Linked DNA regions of Cricetulus griseus. Each later gene encodes a partner of the first gene's protein in a complex. Links are inferred from orthologs where the notes say so. Each region holds a gene or a part of one and is shown on either strand. Other genes may lie near its edges.

Region 1 (7,567 bases):
AATTTCTAGTAAAACCACTACCTCCATCTAGTGTGAAAGCAGAGATTACTACAAACACTGGATTATTGAAAATATCTTGGGAAAAGCCTGTCTTTCCAGAGAATAACCTTCATTTCCAGATTCGATATGGCTTAAATGGAAAAGAAATACAGTGGAAGGTACCTTTTACTTCTAATTGTTTTCTTCTCTGTCCTCTCTTCTTCTCTCCTTTCTCTCCCCCACCCCTCTGTAAATTGGAGTCACTCTGTAGCCCAGGCTGGCCTTCAACTTGTAGACCTCTGATGCTTTAGCCTCCAGAGTGCTGGGGCTAATAAGTGCTATTTAAATGTTTTATGAACACATATTAGTTATACTTTATAATGGGTTTCACTATGATATTTTCATATATATAATGTATTCTGATCATATTCACCTCCTCTTACCACCTCTTATCCCCCCACCACTGTTCCCTTCCTGTTCCTAGCCAGTCACCTTTCTCCATGTTTGGTAAGGATTTTTTCCACAGGAACATGGGCAGCTTATCAGTGGTTCTACCACTAAAGAAACTATCTCATCTTCCCCCAGCAACAGGGAAATCCTCAGGGAGAAGTGGGGGCCCTGTGAGCCCTTCTCCCTTCCATGACCAACTGTACACAGAGGTTTCTTTCCCACCCGCCAGTTCCTGAATAAATACTCAGAGACTTAATAGTAACTATAATTGTTTGGCTAATGGCTCAAGCATATTATTAACTAGCTCTTCCAACTTAAATTAACCCATTTCTATTAATTTATTTATTGCCATTAATTTATTTATTATGGCATTACCTCACATCTGCTTCTCTGGCAGCTGTATAGCATCTACCGGACTCCGCCTTCTTTCTCTCTGTATTTCTCTTTGGATTTCCCAACTGATTTTCTGCCTGGCCATTGGCCAAAACAGCTTTATTCATCATCCATTAAATATTAAAACACGTATTTGTAGCATATAGAAGGACATCCCGCAGCAACCAACCTCATACATGTCTTGTGTAGGTAATCACAACTGCTGAGAGTTAAACATGCAGCAGCATCTTATAATGTTTCAGAGTTTTGTTGTATCACATTGTCACTGGCATACAAATAGTACTCTCCTGTATCGTGTAATTGCTTTCATTACTTAGATCAATGGTTCTCAACCTATGGGTTGCAAACCTTTTCACAGGAGTCACATATCCTATAGTTACATTATGATTAATAACAGTAGCAAAATTACAGTTATAAAGTAGCAATAAAATAATTTTATGGTGGGGGGGTCACCACAACATGAGGGACTGTATTAAAGGGGTTACAATATTAGGAAGATTGAGAAGCACTGACTTAAATTGTAAAAGTTTAATCCTTGCAAGGAACAAAAATAGCATACTTGACAGGACATTTTCCCAATGAGCTGTTCATGAAACAGTGATTGCCTGGCTAAATAGGCTCAGGAAACTCTACCTCATTGTACCTTCCTGGTGTAGAGATGCAGTTTATGATATTTAAGATTTGGAGAAGGCCTTCACTGAAGAAACATATTGCATCCTTTGTTTCCACACTCACTTTTCAGGGACCCACATTTCATCTAAGCTTCTGATATCTTTCAGTATGTTCATCAATAGTACATTTTGAAAAAGACTACTTTTATTAAACAATCATAGAGTTGAGTGTGCATATGGGAAATTTTGTGTCAGTTTTTCAAGGCAGCTTGCTAAGATCGGAAATACAAGAAACCCTAATTCCATTGTTAGCACAATGACATCAGTTGTGGCGAATGTGAGTCTTATCCACTTGATTCTCTAGAAGGGACCCTGTCTGACTGCCATTTTTGAATTCTTGTCTTTGTGGTGGAGAGGATCAGATGGTAAGGATTAGCAGTAGGGCAAGAGTGTGTTTGGAATTGACCTTGCAAGTGCAATGAGTCAAAAATGGAAAGACCAGGTGTGGGAGGCAGCACTCCTCTGGCTGGCCTAACATCATGAGTTTCTGAAGTGAGAAAATACAGCATCACTCTATCTTAAGTTTGGAATAGTGTTAAGGTTTAAAATACAAGCACACTTCAGGACCCAAGGAGGCATACATATTGACAGTATGACTTCTGTTCCAGATGCATGAGGTATTTGATGCAAAATCAAAGTCTGTCAGCCTGCCGGTGCTGGACCTCTGTGCAGTCTATGTGGCACAGGTGCGCTGCAGGCGGTTGGATGGACTTGGGTACTGGAGTAACTGGAGCAGACCAGCCTACACACTTGTCATGGATGTAAAAGGTCTGTGAACACTTGTTACTGTTTCTTGAAAGTACAGAAGCATGTGCTTCAGATGTGACTGAAAACATTCCTTCCAAGAACATGTGTCCAACTTGGGCTCCCTGTCATTTTGCAGTTCCTATGAGAGGACCTGAATTTTGGAGAATAATGAATGGTGATATTACTAAAAAAGAGAAAAATGTCACCTTGCTTTGGAAGGTATTTCTAATTTCTATCTTTTATTTTATTCTGACGTTATGTTGTTCTATTCTTTGTTTATAACCCTGTCACTATTAATCTCACAAATGACCCCAAACCTTATGTTTTAATGCATTTTGGAGATGTGGTTGCTCAGAGCTAAGAATCTGGGGTTTTGACATAGTCAGGAGCCTTTATTATTGTCTTAGGTCAATTACAATTGTGCCATTGCTATTTTGGCAAGTCTTGGATTCTTTGGACTTCACATTTGGCATCTGTATCAGGGTAAGATTCCCAAATGATAATTAATGTTGCTTCAAGTCCACGATTTGATTGTGATTGAATCCTGAACAATGTAAACATGGCTTTGCCCTCACACTGTAAGCACGTAAGAAGTAAGAGAGGATTTGAGCTATGTGATGGCATAGGATAAGTGTTTTCTACAATGATGGATAATCAACTTGGAAATGCCAAAGCATCCATTCTTCTAAAGAGTGACTTCTTTCCCAAATAAATAATTTCAGGAGTAGGTATAAAGCTTATGACTTACTTAGGAATAAAATATACTAGGTAGGCCATGTTATGTTTATTATGTAAATGGGAAAGACTGTCAGGAGAATGAAGACATCATTGCAGTAAGGACTCTTCAGCTTCAACAGTAAGAAAGCAAATAGCCCAACGAAAATATAGACCAAATATCTGGTCTACATATCTAACCAAAGGTGACAGACCCACAGGAGACAAATAAAAACATGATAGGAGTCTTAGCATTGTTGGTCATTGTTGTGGATTTACAAAGTAAAACAACAGTGAGGTATAAGTCCATGTCTATTAGAATAGTTATTACTTTTCAAATTGCTGGTTGAGAATACAGAGCATCAAGAAACTTGGTTTGCTGCTCATGGAAATGCAAACTTGTGTAGCCTTGATGGACCATCGTGCTCATAGATGATTATCTGGGTGACTTGAAAACTTTCTCTACATGAAAACTTGCACATGAGTTATTCAGACCACTGTATTCATAATCGTTATTCCAAAGTGAGACTCTTCAGTTGACAGTGAAATGGTAGGCACACAACACTGCACATTTGCACATTAGGACAACAGATAAAAGTATCCAGATTTAAAAAAATCATAGACTGGAGGATTCGAGGATGAAAAACAGATTAGATTATGACCATCACAAGTGTATGAAATTACCTCACTGTGTAGGGCAAGGGAAAAGGCTTTAATTAACTTTGGAAATGAGTCTGATGTGTGGAAGATGTGAGACACTACATGAACACTTTGGAGTTGTGCATTTTTGCAGGGATGTAGGCTAGTAGTTATTACATCAGTGTATGTCTGTCTTGATGGAAAAATTGAGATGAGTGGGCCAGAGTACAGGTTTTTCACTGCTCTCTCAGGAGGCTCCAGACTAGCAAGAAAGTCAGCCATAATGGTTCTTGTAGTCATAGATTGGAGTTAGAGGTCAACATAAGCTCATTAAGGCATAGGTGGGCTCTTTCAGACATATTTAGATATGTATATTTACAGAGGCCAGTATACATGCATATATCCTTGATTTTGTAAGCTAAGAGGGCCTAAAAGTTAAGACTATTCAAGAGGAAAGAGTGTCTCAGTCAAAGAAATCAGGACCTGAGAGAAATGCTTACTTTGGGGCTGGGGCAGTAAATGTACAGGTGAGCCATGAGTATCTTTTAATATTCTTGATTCTTTGCTTATGATTAAAGAATAAATACTAACATATCAAAATGACATAGATTTTCAGATGAAATAAAACTTGTATTTCCTCATAGAAGTTTTGCTTACATCTTACTTCCACCCTACTACCCACAAGCTTGCACCCTCTGCAGAATACCTGCATCTGTGTGAATGTGTCTCTGCCATTTTTCAACTGGAGACACTTGTTCTGTCTGTGTTATAAAATTCAGCTCTTCATAGCTTTCTAAGGGATTGGCAGCATTTAATTTTCCCTGCAATAGGTAAAGGTGATTGCTTGGGAAGTGAAGGGGATCATTGGACTCTCTTTTTTTTGGCGGGGGTGAGACAGGGTTTCTCTGTGAAGCTTTGGAGCCTATCCTGGCACTCATTCTGTAGACCAGGCTGGCCTCGAACTCACAGAGATCTGCCTGCTTCTGCTTCCCGAGTGCTGGGATTAAAGGCGTGTGCCACAGATGCCCAGTGATTGTTGGACTCTTAAGAACAGAAGAACATGGAGCTGGATGGAATGGAATGTGTTGTACACAGGAATCTTTCATAACACAGTATAATATTTTATAGAAAGCCTTACGGCAGAAATGTCCAGGGCCACAAAGACTGCTCAGAGAGCCTCTGTTATTTGTTAACCTTCAAGGTTTCTGTTTTGTTTGCAAAAACTCTTCTTGCGGTAGCTAATCTTCCAAGCATATCCGGGGGAGAACAGTGGTAGATTTACTTGGGTTTACAAAGTGATGATGACTATCTGAGCCTTCTTGTTCCTTCCTAGAACCTGAGTAGTACCTTTGCTTGCTTGTTAGATGAGGAAACTTCTTACCAGTCTTTTTCTACATTTAGAGTAGAGATTCTTAGCATTTTCTATGTGTTCTTCATATTTTGAGTGTCCTGTGTTCTTACTTTATTGTCTTTAGTCTCTGGGTCTAAAGAAAAATGTAAAGAGGGGAAAATAATTTCCCTGTGCTGCACGACTCCTAGATATGTCCATGCCTACTGCATTGCTCAGTTTCAACTCCTGTTCCCACCCCAATGCCTTAACACTAGGTTGGGCAGTGCCTGCCTTTGTCTAACTCCGACTTCCTGGTGGGAATGTATAATCAGAATTCTATGAGCTCAGTTGTTATAAATGCTGTGGTCCATGTGCTAATTCATTTTTGTGTTTACTCCAGCCCCTGATGAAAAATGACTCCCTGTGCAGCGTGAGGAGGTATGTGGTGCAGCATAGTACTGCCCACAATGGGACGTGGTCAGAAGACGCGGGAGATCAGACCAATCTCACTTTCCTGTGGGCAGAACAAGCACATACCGTTACGGTTCTGGCCATCAATTCCATTGGTGCTTCCCTTGCAAATTTTAATCTAACATTTTCATGGCCAATGAGTAAAGGTAAAGATGCTGAGAAATGAAATAGTTTATTGCCCTATTTATTTATTTATTTTGAGTTTTCAAAGCAGGGTTTCTCTGTGTAGCTCTGGCTGTCTTGGAACTTACTCTGTAGACCAGACTGGCCTCGAACTCACAGAGAACTCCCTGAGTGCTGGAATTACAGGCATGTGCCACCACCACCTGGCTTATTTTATTTATTTCTATGGTGGGTCATACAGAATCCTACTATTATTATTATCATTATTATTTTAGCCTGACTGTTAAATTATGATGTAGCTTGATTGCATGACTTTTTGTGTAGCACTGCAGCTATATCATTCTTGCTCCTTCCCCTTCAATGCCTCCCATGTATCGCCTCTAAAATTCATTATCTAGTCTTTATATATATATATATATATATATATATATATATATGAGTCTATTATATTTATAGTCTATATATATAATATATATATATATATATATATATAAATGAGTCTAAATAGACTCATATATATATGAGTCTATTTAGCTTTGCTCATACGTACATGTGTTCAGGGATGACCACTTGGGATTGGGATTAGTTAACCTGTGCAGGAGCTCATTCATGGAGGAGACTGATTCTTCTTCTCTGAGTATCCACTGATTTTCTGCAGCTCTTCCTCTAGGGGTGGGTGTGAGGGCCTCAGAACTGGCACAGAACACAGCCAGATACCAAGTTCTCAGCACAAAGGAGATTCAGTACCCCAGAAGGATAAGTGGGGACCAGAAGGCTGCCTCTGGATGGACAAAGATATTAACAGGTGACTCTGCAGGAGTGGTTTTTAAGGAGAAAAGGGGGAAGTCTGGTAGGATGAGTTGGTAAGCTCTGGTTGGACATGTTAGTCAGTGTAGCCAAATAATAAATCTTGTTTTGCTGGATCTTGGTGTTTGGATAGCTGGACCTTGGAGTTTTAGTCAGGCATAAGGAAGTGGCCAAATAGAGGAATTTAGAAAGTGCTGTGAACTTTAAAGAAGGGATAGGACATATTCAAACCATAATCAAAGACTTCATGAAATAAGTGACGCTTGGATAGGTTAGTAGGTGGGTAGAGACACCAGAAATGAGTATTTTTTCCATTTAAAATGAAATGGTATCTTTTATACAAAACACAGATTTTATGCTCCTATTGAGGGTGGCTCTTGGGACAGCAAGGTGGCCCTGTAGATAAAGGCACCAGCCACCAAGCCTGATAACTGAGTTAGATCCCTGAGAGCCTACAAGGTGGAAGGGGAGAACCAATTTCCACAAGTTGCCCGACATCCATACATACTCTGGCATGTTGCATCCTCCCAATTAATTAACTTTAAAATATATTTTATAGGGCTGGAGAGATGGCTCAGTGGTTAAGAATACTAGCTGGTCTTCCAGAGGTCCTGAGTTCAATTCCCAGCAAACACATGATGGCTCACAGCTATCAGTAATGAGACCTGATGCCCTCTTCTGGCCTGCAGGCAGACATGCAGATAGCCCACTCTATACATAATAAATAAATAAATCTTTAAAAAATAGTGTTGTGTTCTAAGGAAAAATATATTAGTATGTGTGTATCTTTGTGAGTGTATGCATTTGTGATGTATATTTATGGGCACACATATTATAGCATGTGTATGGAGATTGGAGCACAACGTAGTGCAGGTGATTTCACCCTTCACCTTTACGTGGGACCTGGAGATTGACATAGGGTCTCATTATGTGGCTCTGGCTGGCCTGGAACTCACTATATAGATCAGTCTAGTCTTGAACACATAGAGATCTGATTTTCTTTCTACCCCTCAATGCTAGGATTGAAGGCATATGCCTCCATGCCTGGCCAGGAATATGATTTTTTTTTTTCTGAAAGAAAGTAAACAGGAACTTGATTTTGGGTTGAGGGTAGAGAAACCATCCTGAGGCAATGGCATTGATTAGGAATCAAATTTCTTCTCCCAGCTTTAGGGTGGGGAAGTTTTAGCTTCCAACAGATGCACACCTGATCAAGTTTTCATGGCTCAGGGGAAGAGATGAA
Region 2 (7,471 bases), on another chromosome or scaffold:
GCCCTGTCACACACAAACAGCTCCCTTGAAGCCCCTCCACAACAGGAGACAGAAAACAAAGCCTGGAGGCATCGTTAATTTATTTAAGTTTACACAAAATAAAACAGAAGTTTGTTGTTGTCATATAAAAAAAACAAAAAAACAAAAAAACAAAAAAAAACCCAAGCATTTTTGCATATGGGAAGTTTCACAATCTGGGAATAAGCCATAGTGCCAGATTTTCTGAGCAAAAGGCTCAGGACATTTTGGCTTGATAGGGTGACCAAGGTGACATATTATGGACCCCAGAACAGTCTGACACCAGCCACCACAAGCCTCTGTTCTGGACTGTGGCACTTGGGACTCTTTCAGTATCCACTTCAGTGGCCCATAAAGTCCTTCCAGCATTTTCCTTTCCGTCCCGTTCTTCCTTGTCCGTCTTCTCCTTCACCTCCTATTCATACTTTTACCTCTCTACGCCCCAACTTCCAATACAACAACATCCTTCTAGTAGGAAACTCACATTCCTCACCTCCTCCAAAGTCCACTCCAAACGCCTCTCTTCTATCCAGCACCCCAAACCTGATCCAGATCACCTCCTTGAGTGAGTGCATCACCTGGCTGGAGGGACACCCTTCGGGGATGAGAAACCAGTCCCTAGTCTGGCCTTGCCACCTGTTGGCCATTATAGTTTCAAGTGTAGTCTAAATAACTCTTAACAGAAAATCCAAGATCCAAAAATGCTTCAAAACCCGGTGTTTTTTGAGTGATGACATGATGCCATGAGTAGAAAACTCCACACCGTGAAATCTTGTTTCATGCACATAACATTATTTAAAAACACTGTATAAAATTACCTTTAAGCTGTGTGTCTACGGTATTATGAAATACAAATGAATTTCATGTTTATCCTTGGGTCCCACCTCCAAGATATCTCATTATATCTACTCAAAGATACTTAGGCCTGAAAAGACTCAAAAATCCAAGGCTTTCTAGTCCCGGGCATCTTGGAAAAGGGATCCTCAACCTGTATTTTCTTATTTTAACAATCCCAGTTACCCTGTGTCAACAGGATGTGCTCCAATAGCAGTGGATGCTAATGTGCCCTGAAAAGTATGCAAATGCTATAGAGTGCAAGCGAGGTTACCCTGGGCACTGTCACGCTCAGCTCAGGCTGTTTCCCACCTGCTGAAGGCAGCACTGTCCTCTCAGCTGTGTGGCGCTGCCGGGTGAAGTATCCCCCTTGGCACACCAGTGAGTAGGTTCTTACTGCAGGGACATGAGCCCCTGAGTTTTGTGTTTATTTGGTGGGCTTCTCTAGCCCACAGCACCAGTTGGGTCTGAGCACCAAGTGGCGCTCAGTCTTAAAGTGTCTTGCTTTTTCCATCAAGTTTTCTTGCATTGATCTACCACCCACAGTGGGATGGTGACAAAAGGGTGCAGGGTGATGGAAAAACCCAAGCCCCTTCGTTCATCCTCGTGGCCTCCAGCCCGAAGAGCAATTCTGGCAGCCTGGCCTGGGGCCCTGGCACTTCCTCAGCAGTGCTGGCTCAGGGCTCAGGACCATCAGCTGAACAATCTCATTCCCACTGGAACAAAACTCCCCACAGAATGGGTGGTCAACATGGTTTTACTTTGGATGAACCAACCAGATGAGAACCACATGCTGACATGCAAACACCTACCAGGGTTACTGCCAGTTTTAGAAACCCATTGTGGGATCAACCCGGACAACTTGGAGGGCCACACCAGGCACCCTTTTCTTGGGAATCACTATCTCAACTGTGGGACCCTCACTCCCCGAGCTCAGCAATGTACCAATAAAATGGTCTGTGGTTTTAGCCCCCTCCATGGGTGCCTAGTTCACTCCAAACGGTTCTTTTCGTAAAAACCACACTAGGTGGTTTCAGAAGGTGAGGAGACTGCCTCACCCTTTCAGAAAAGCCTACCACAAATATGCTTTTCACACATTCTGAGTCCTTCTCCCTTGCTCAACACATCCCTACCCCCACGTGCCCACAGATACATATTACACTTGACAAAATTCATCTTCTTTCGATAATCTAGCCTATGCTCCAGGCAATGCCACTGCAAAAGTGTTTGCATAAAGTCAGTCACAATAGAAAAGAAACCAGTGACCAGAGGACAGACTCGAGAGCCACCTTGGCTGGCTCTTGCTCAGGCGAGCCCAACCCCAGTCACTCAAAATAGGTTTACCTCAGGCAGACCCATCATTTGGAGTTGAAAACAGCATCCCAGGAGCCTCCCTAACCCTGACTGACCCCAAAGCCTGAAAAAGCCAATGCTTTGCTTCAGATCCATCCAAAGTAAAATGCGGAATAAATAAATAAGTGCTTCCAACATGCGCTGCTTGGGAGTTTCCAGCTGTGTGGATGCAGCCTTCATGGTGCTCCCCGGGAGACACTGAGACCATCCAAAGACTCTGCCCACCCCTTCCTCATATCCCCTGGACCACAGTGAAGCATGTACCAAGAGGCGGGTAGAACAGGGCAGGGACAGGATGCTTCTTATCACTACTTGCTGTAGAACTAGGTGAGAATCACCTCTGCAGACTGGCCTTCCTAGTGCTCATGGAATGGTGCGTCTATCTTTAGTCAAGCGTTGTGGAGTCATGCCTTTGGAAGGGTGGCCTAGAGGAGTGAGAGATGTGGACAGAGTCCTGGATGAGAGATGTATACGCATGGCTCTCCCCTCCTGGAGACACCTGGAAGCTAAGGTTTCTTCCTTCAACATGGTTCTTGGGAGGCCCTTGAAGCCTCAGCATTCAGGGCTAAGGTCCAGCTGTTGGAGAATGTCCTGCAGAGATCCCTGCAGCCTGCTTAGTGCCACCACCTCCGTGGAGTATAGTGAGGCTTCCAGGACACCATCCAGGCTCTCTAGCTGCTGCAGCTCACTGGTCGGAGGCAGGGAGCAGCTCTTGGAGGAGGCCAGCAGATGGAGAAGGTCTCGGAGGTTCTCCAGGTCATTAGATATTTGCACAACGTTTCGGGAAGGCAGACTGGTGAGGATCTGTTGGTAGACTGCCAGAGTCTGGTCCATTTTGGACAAACTCAGGATGGGGTGGAGCCCAGGAATGAAGTCCAAACCAGTGACCCTCTGCTTGGCAGATACCGACTGCTGTACGGGAGGAAGGGGAACAGCAGATACTCAGGAGATGGCAGGGGAATCGACTGGCAAAGCCCTCCATCACATCTGTGAGCCTAGGCTGCCTCCTTCCTTCCTCTCCCTCCGGGTCCAGGCCCTTATCTCCCGTGCTCAGCTGCCTGATGAGCCACTGAGCTTGTCTCCCATATTTCTGCTACTTCTGAGCCACCTCTCCCTTCACTTGTGACTAATCTTCTTGGGTAATTCCTTTCTCCAAATGGCATCCGAGAGGGACTAGCCATGGTTCTCTGTTCCTTACTCTGACTCTAGCCTCTCACCCTTATCAGATCTCTCCCTCCCAGTCATATTCTTATGTAATCCTTCCTCCTTAGGGTCAAAGCTGTGCCCCTCCCCCCACTCTAGGGAATCTGGTTTCCAGGAAGGGCTCTTCCCACCTCAGCAACCTTCTCTCATTGCTACCCACATTTGGGTAGTTGGGTCTCCCATGATGACTGCATTTGAAAGGTGATGAAGACTGCTCTTCTGTGTGACTTTGAAATGAGGGTGTGCAAAGGCAGGAAAAGTTGTGACTAAAACTGTTAGAACCTAATGACCCTCCTGTGTAGAGACTGCCCAGTGGAGATACTGCTGGGAGTCTGGCCACCTGTCAATGGGACACCATGACCTTTAGAGTTTCCTGTGGTCCTGGATACTAGGATTCAAGGAAGTAGTTTTGGGAAGGAAGGAGAATAAGAAACAGAAACAATAGGCTGAGGAGAAGAGATAGTGGTCTGCAGAGCAGGGACGGACCACAGTTCCCCTTAGGTATGCCTCACATGCTCTGCTAAACCGCTGAGGGCAGGGTTTCCTGTGGCAGAGAGAAAATGAACATAGGTGGCCTTCTGATGTCACAGAACCTATGGTTTCTTAAAGGGAGAGTATGACAAAGTCAGATCCCTTCAAGTGGCTTAGAATTAGAACCACAGTTGAGCGGTCTGGGTGCTGGATTTGGAACTGGAACCACTCAGCTCTGGATTCCAGGAGGCAGAGGAGTCAAGAGCCATGACCAGAAAGAATGGACACCCTAGGCTTATAAATAGTCAGCTTCCAGGATGTGCCTGGCATTCAGAAAGTGCTTGATGTGTTTCTCCCTCCTTTGTCCCCTAGAGTCTCCCTACCGTGTGTGAAATGTCATTGATCCTGGTGACAATGGTCTTGATGAGGGTTTTGGTGTCATCCTGGACTTTCTGGATTGGCACAGCTTGAACATAGGACAGATAGGACCAAAGCCACAGGAACCGGCACAGGGGTCTCCAGCACATTTTCCTTCCTGGGATCTTCTTGGGCCTGCAAACAGAAGGAATGACACTTTTCAAGAGCCCAGTATAAATCCACCCTGTCGGCTCTGCTGCCAGCCCACTGTTGGACATGGATGGATAAGATTTGCTTTCTTCCCTAGCTAGCTACCATCGTCTCAAAGTCAAGACAATGCATTATGGAACCTGGATTAATGAAATTCATCCCCCTGGGAACATTATTGACAGGTCAATAAAGCCACAGTGATGTATCCTGTAGATTATAGGGGGCAGTGCTTGTCAGATGGATGTGATGACAATGGGGGGCTTTATTGTATACTTTCAAGGGAAAGAGGACCAACTCTTAAGGTCTGGCTGGAATGTAGTTGTTTCCTCATTGCCTAAATTTAGGTGTCTCACGTAACCATTCAAAACTCCACCTTTCTCCCTATACTCCACCTATATCCAAGCTCGGATGAAGATCAAATTAGCTAATGCACGTGAAAGAGCTGGAGGAGCTGTGAAGTGTTCCTTCCAGTGCTGCCTGGCCCTTCCTGTCACTCTTCCAGGAGCCCCCTGTTGCTGTCTTTTGTGGCCTTCATTACTGACTTATAAGTCCCTTCCTCTCCCAGTGGGGACCTGAGTCCAAGCAGCATTTGTCCACCAGGCACAGTGCCCCAAGGACGGAAGATACTTCCTACCCTCTAGTGCCTCTGTGTAACAGGAGGGACAGACAAGCAAAGTAGGCCGTTTCAATGCAGGAAGATGGAGCTTCACAAGAAGACAAGTGTGAGACATCGCAGGAGCCCAGAGGAGGTTGCCTGGGAAGGGTTCCAGACGGAGAAGGGGCTGAGTAGAACACAGTTGCCCTATGTGGCCAAGAGACCAGAACTGCAAAGGCATGGAAGCAGGAAAGAACGCAGCACATTCACTTAGAATGCTGGAAATTTCAGTCATGGAGCCATGAGTTTTTAAATTAACACTATGCTGATCCTTGATTAAGAAACGCCGGTTTGATGAGATGCATGAGGCAAAAGTAATAAAGTGAAATGTATGCAAGTCTTAGCCAGTGATCCACGCTAAGGACGTGTGTGTGTGAGCTGGAAGAATAAAGATATCCATAAGTATTAGGATGAAGAGTGTGGAGACAGTAGAAAAACTGACTTTTCCTTTTTTGTGTTCTTCCTCTTCTGGGTCTTGGTGGGAACAGGTAATGCTTGGCCATCCATCGGTGGAGATATTAGTATAACTCACCTTCTGGCAGTACAGCAAAAAATGAGCACACTGCTTATATATTATTTATAGTGCTTGCTTAAAGGTATGCTCTTTTTAATCTGAGTTTTACAGAAGAGAAAACAAATGAATCTCAGAAAGATGAGCCGACTTTTCCAAAGTCAAAAAGATGAATGGCAGGCAGGGATGTGCGAAGGACAGATTGAAATATAGCAATCCCCTGCCCCCATCCATAACTCCACTTTCTGAGGTTTTAGTTACCCTTGGTCATCTAAGATCCTAAAATATTAAATAGAAAATTCCAGAAATGAATAATTCATCAGCTCTCAATTGTGCCAGGCTGAGTAGTATTATGAAGTCATATACTGTCTCATCCTGCTCCTACTGGGTGTGAAATCCCTCACCCAGGGTGCCCACACTGTATACATTGCTCCTCTGTGAGCCACTTAGTAGCTTCCTGGTTATCACAACTGTCATGGAATCACAGTGTATCCCTGTTAACCTTTACTTAATTTAATAATGGCCCTACAGCAAGAACTGTGATCAAAGGAGGCAGAAACATTCAAGGAGAGAGGAATTTGAGTTCTAGGGGTCTGTGCTCCAAGGCATATGAAGAATAAATGCATATAAGCGACTTAGTCCTCTCATGAGTTTCAGGTGTCCACTGGAAGTCATGGAACATATTCTCCACAGATCAGCAGGGCTGCTAGCTGATATCCCCCATCTAGTTCCCTGAAACCCCAGTGAAGGAACCAAGTATAACACTCAGACCCCGGGCTTTAACTGTAGGCTGTTTCGTTATTGTTATTGTTATTGTTTGTTGCTGTATGCCCCTAGTAAGCATAGTTAACTTCCCAGAGTATCTGTTCGGACCGGTAAAATGGAGCTAGTGCTAGCACTGGCTCCAAAGAGTAAATGAGATGAATTTTTGATATCCCTGCCTGTCTTGGCTTGTGTCTGTCTCAGGGTTGAGGGAGTAAATGACCACTACTTAAAAAATGATTGTAATTACTGGGCAGAGCTTGCAACGCTCTGGGCAATGGCACCTGCAGCTGACTCTGAGGCACGCACTTGGCCCACTGCCTCCCTTGGGCATCCCAACGGGGTACCCTGGTGCTTGTGGGTTTTCCCCTTAGCACAAGCATGTGTGTCATTCATTTCTAAGATGTATGTGTTGATGATACCCCCCTTCCTTACAAAATTTACTGCCAGAATACCTATGGTCATAACATAGCTATTTTCACATAACGGCCACCTGAACTATTGAAATGGACAAAAAGCTTTACAAGCCCTCTCTCAGCATGGGTAATATGCCCCAGTGGATTCTGGCAATAAATTGCAGTGCTTTGAAAACATGGAACTGAGGTGCTATGGCTGAGTAAGTAAGCCTAAGATAAGAGGCCAGGCTTCTAGGACATGCATGGAGGGTTGCAGAGAGAAGTGGCTACAGGTCCTTCCGAGATCAAAGCCATGGTGAGAACCGATTGGCCCAACAGCACAGAACATGCTTATGCAGCGCGCGCGCGCACACACACACACACACCTGCTATATTTTCCAGCTTCTACCATTAGATTCAGTTAAACAGCCAAAAGTGACCAATAAATAGAAGCAGAAGCTCCATGTGGCAGCTTTTGGCATTGTTTATGGTGGCCCATGCCTACCTGTGATTTTAGCATTTGTAAGGCTGAGGCAGGAGAATTTCTTGTAAATCTCAGGCCAGCCTGGGCTACAGAGCAAGACCTGGTCTCAGAAAAACAAAAGCCCAAAATAAATAAATAAATAAATAGTGTTAATAAAATTAAAGAGCAAAGCAGTGAGCTATGGTAAGAATGTATGTCATTAATTGCAACAGAAGCGG

Evidence for each region. The genes of interacting proteins can lie anywhere in the genome.
Region 2: the proteins of Lepr (region 1) and Lep are in contact, whole or in part, in a crystal structure (PDB 7Z3R), measured with the Mus musculus proteins. The link is inferred for Cricetulus griseus from reciprocal best matches to the Homo sapiens genes LEPR and LEP. Residues at the interface, in NP_666258.2 of Mus musculus: Tyr439, Leu440, Thr441, Arg466, Ser468, Leu469, Tyr470, Gln499, Pro500, Ile501, Phe502, Leu503, Leu504, Ser505, Val560, Phe561, Glu563, Asn564; in NP_032519.1 of Mus musculus: Lys26, Val27, Asp30, Thr33, Leu34, Lys36, Thr37, Thr40, Arg41, Gln92, Gln96, Asn99, Asp100, Glu102, Asn103, Asp106, Leu107, Leu110.

The regions. Positions count from the first base shown.
Region 1 is NC_048595.1:47,869,000-47,876,566, reverse strand, and holds part of Lepr (leptin receptor), read left to right. Parts: intron 1-9; coding exon 10-158; intron 159-2,101; coding exon 2,102-2,261; intron 2,262-2,376; coding exon 2,377-2,459; intron 2,460-5,323; coding exon 5,324-5,540; intron 5,541-7,567. UniProt on the Homo sapiens protein: Receptor for hormone LEP/leptin. On ligand binding, mediates LEP central and peripheral effects through the activation of different signaling pathways such as JAK2/STAT3 and MAPK cascade/FOS.
Region 2 is NW_023276806.1:198,734,294-198,741,764, forward strand, and holds Lep (leptin), read right to left. Parts: upstream 4,460-7,471; 5' UTR 4,407-4,459; coding exon 4,263-4,406; intron 3,118-4,262; coding exon 2,758-3,117; downstream 1-2,757. UniProt on the Homo sapiens protein: Key player in the regulation of energy balance and body weight control. Once released into the circulation, has central and peripheral effects by binding LEPR, found in many tissues, which results in the activation of several major signaling pathways.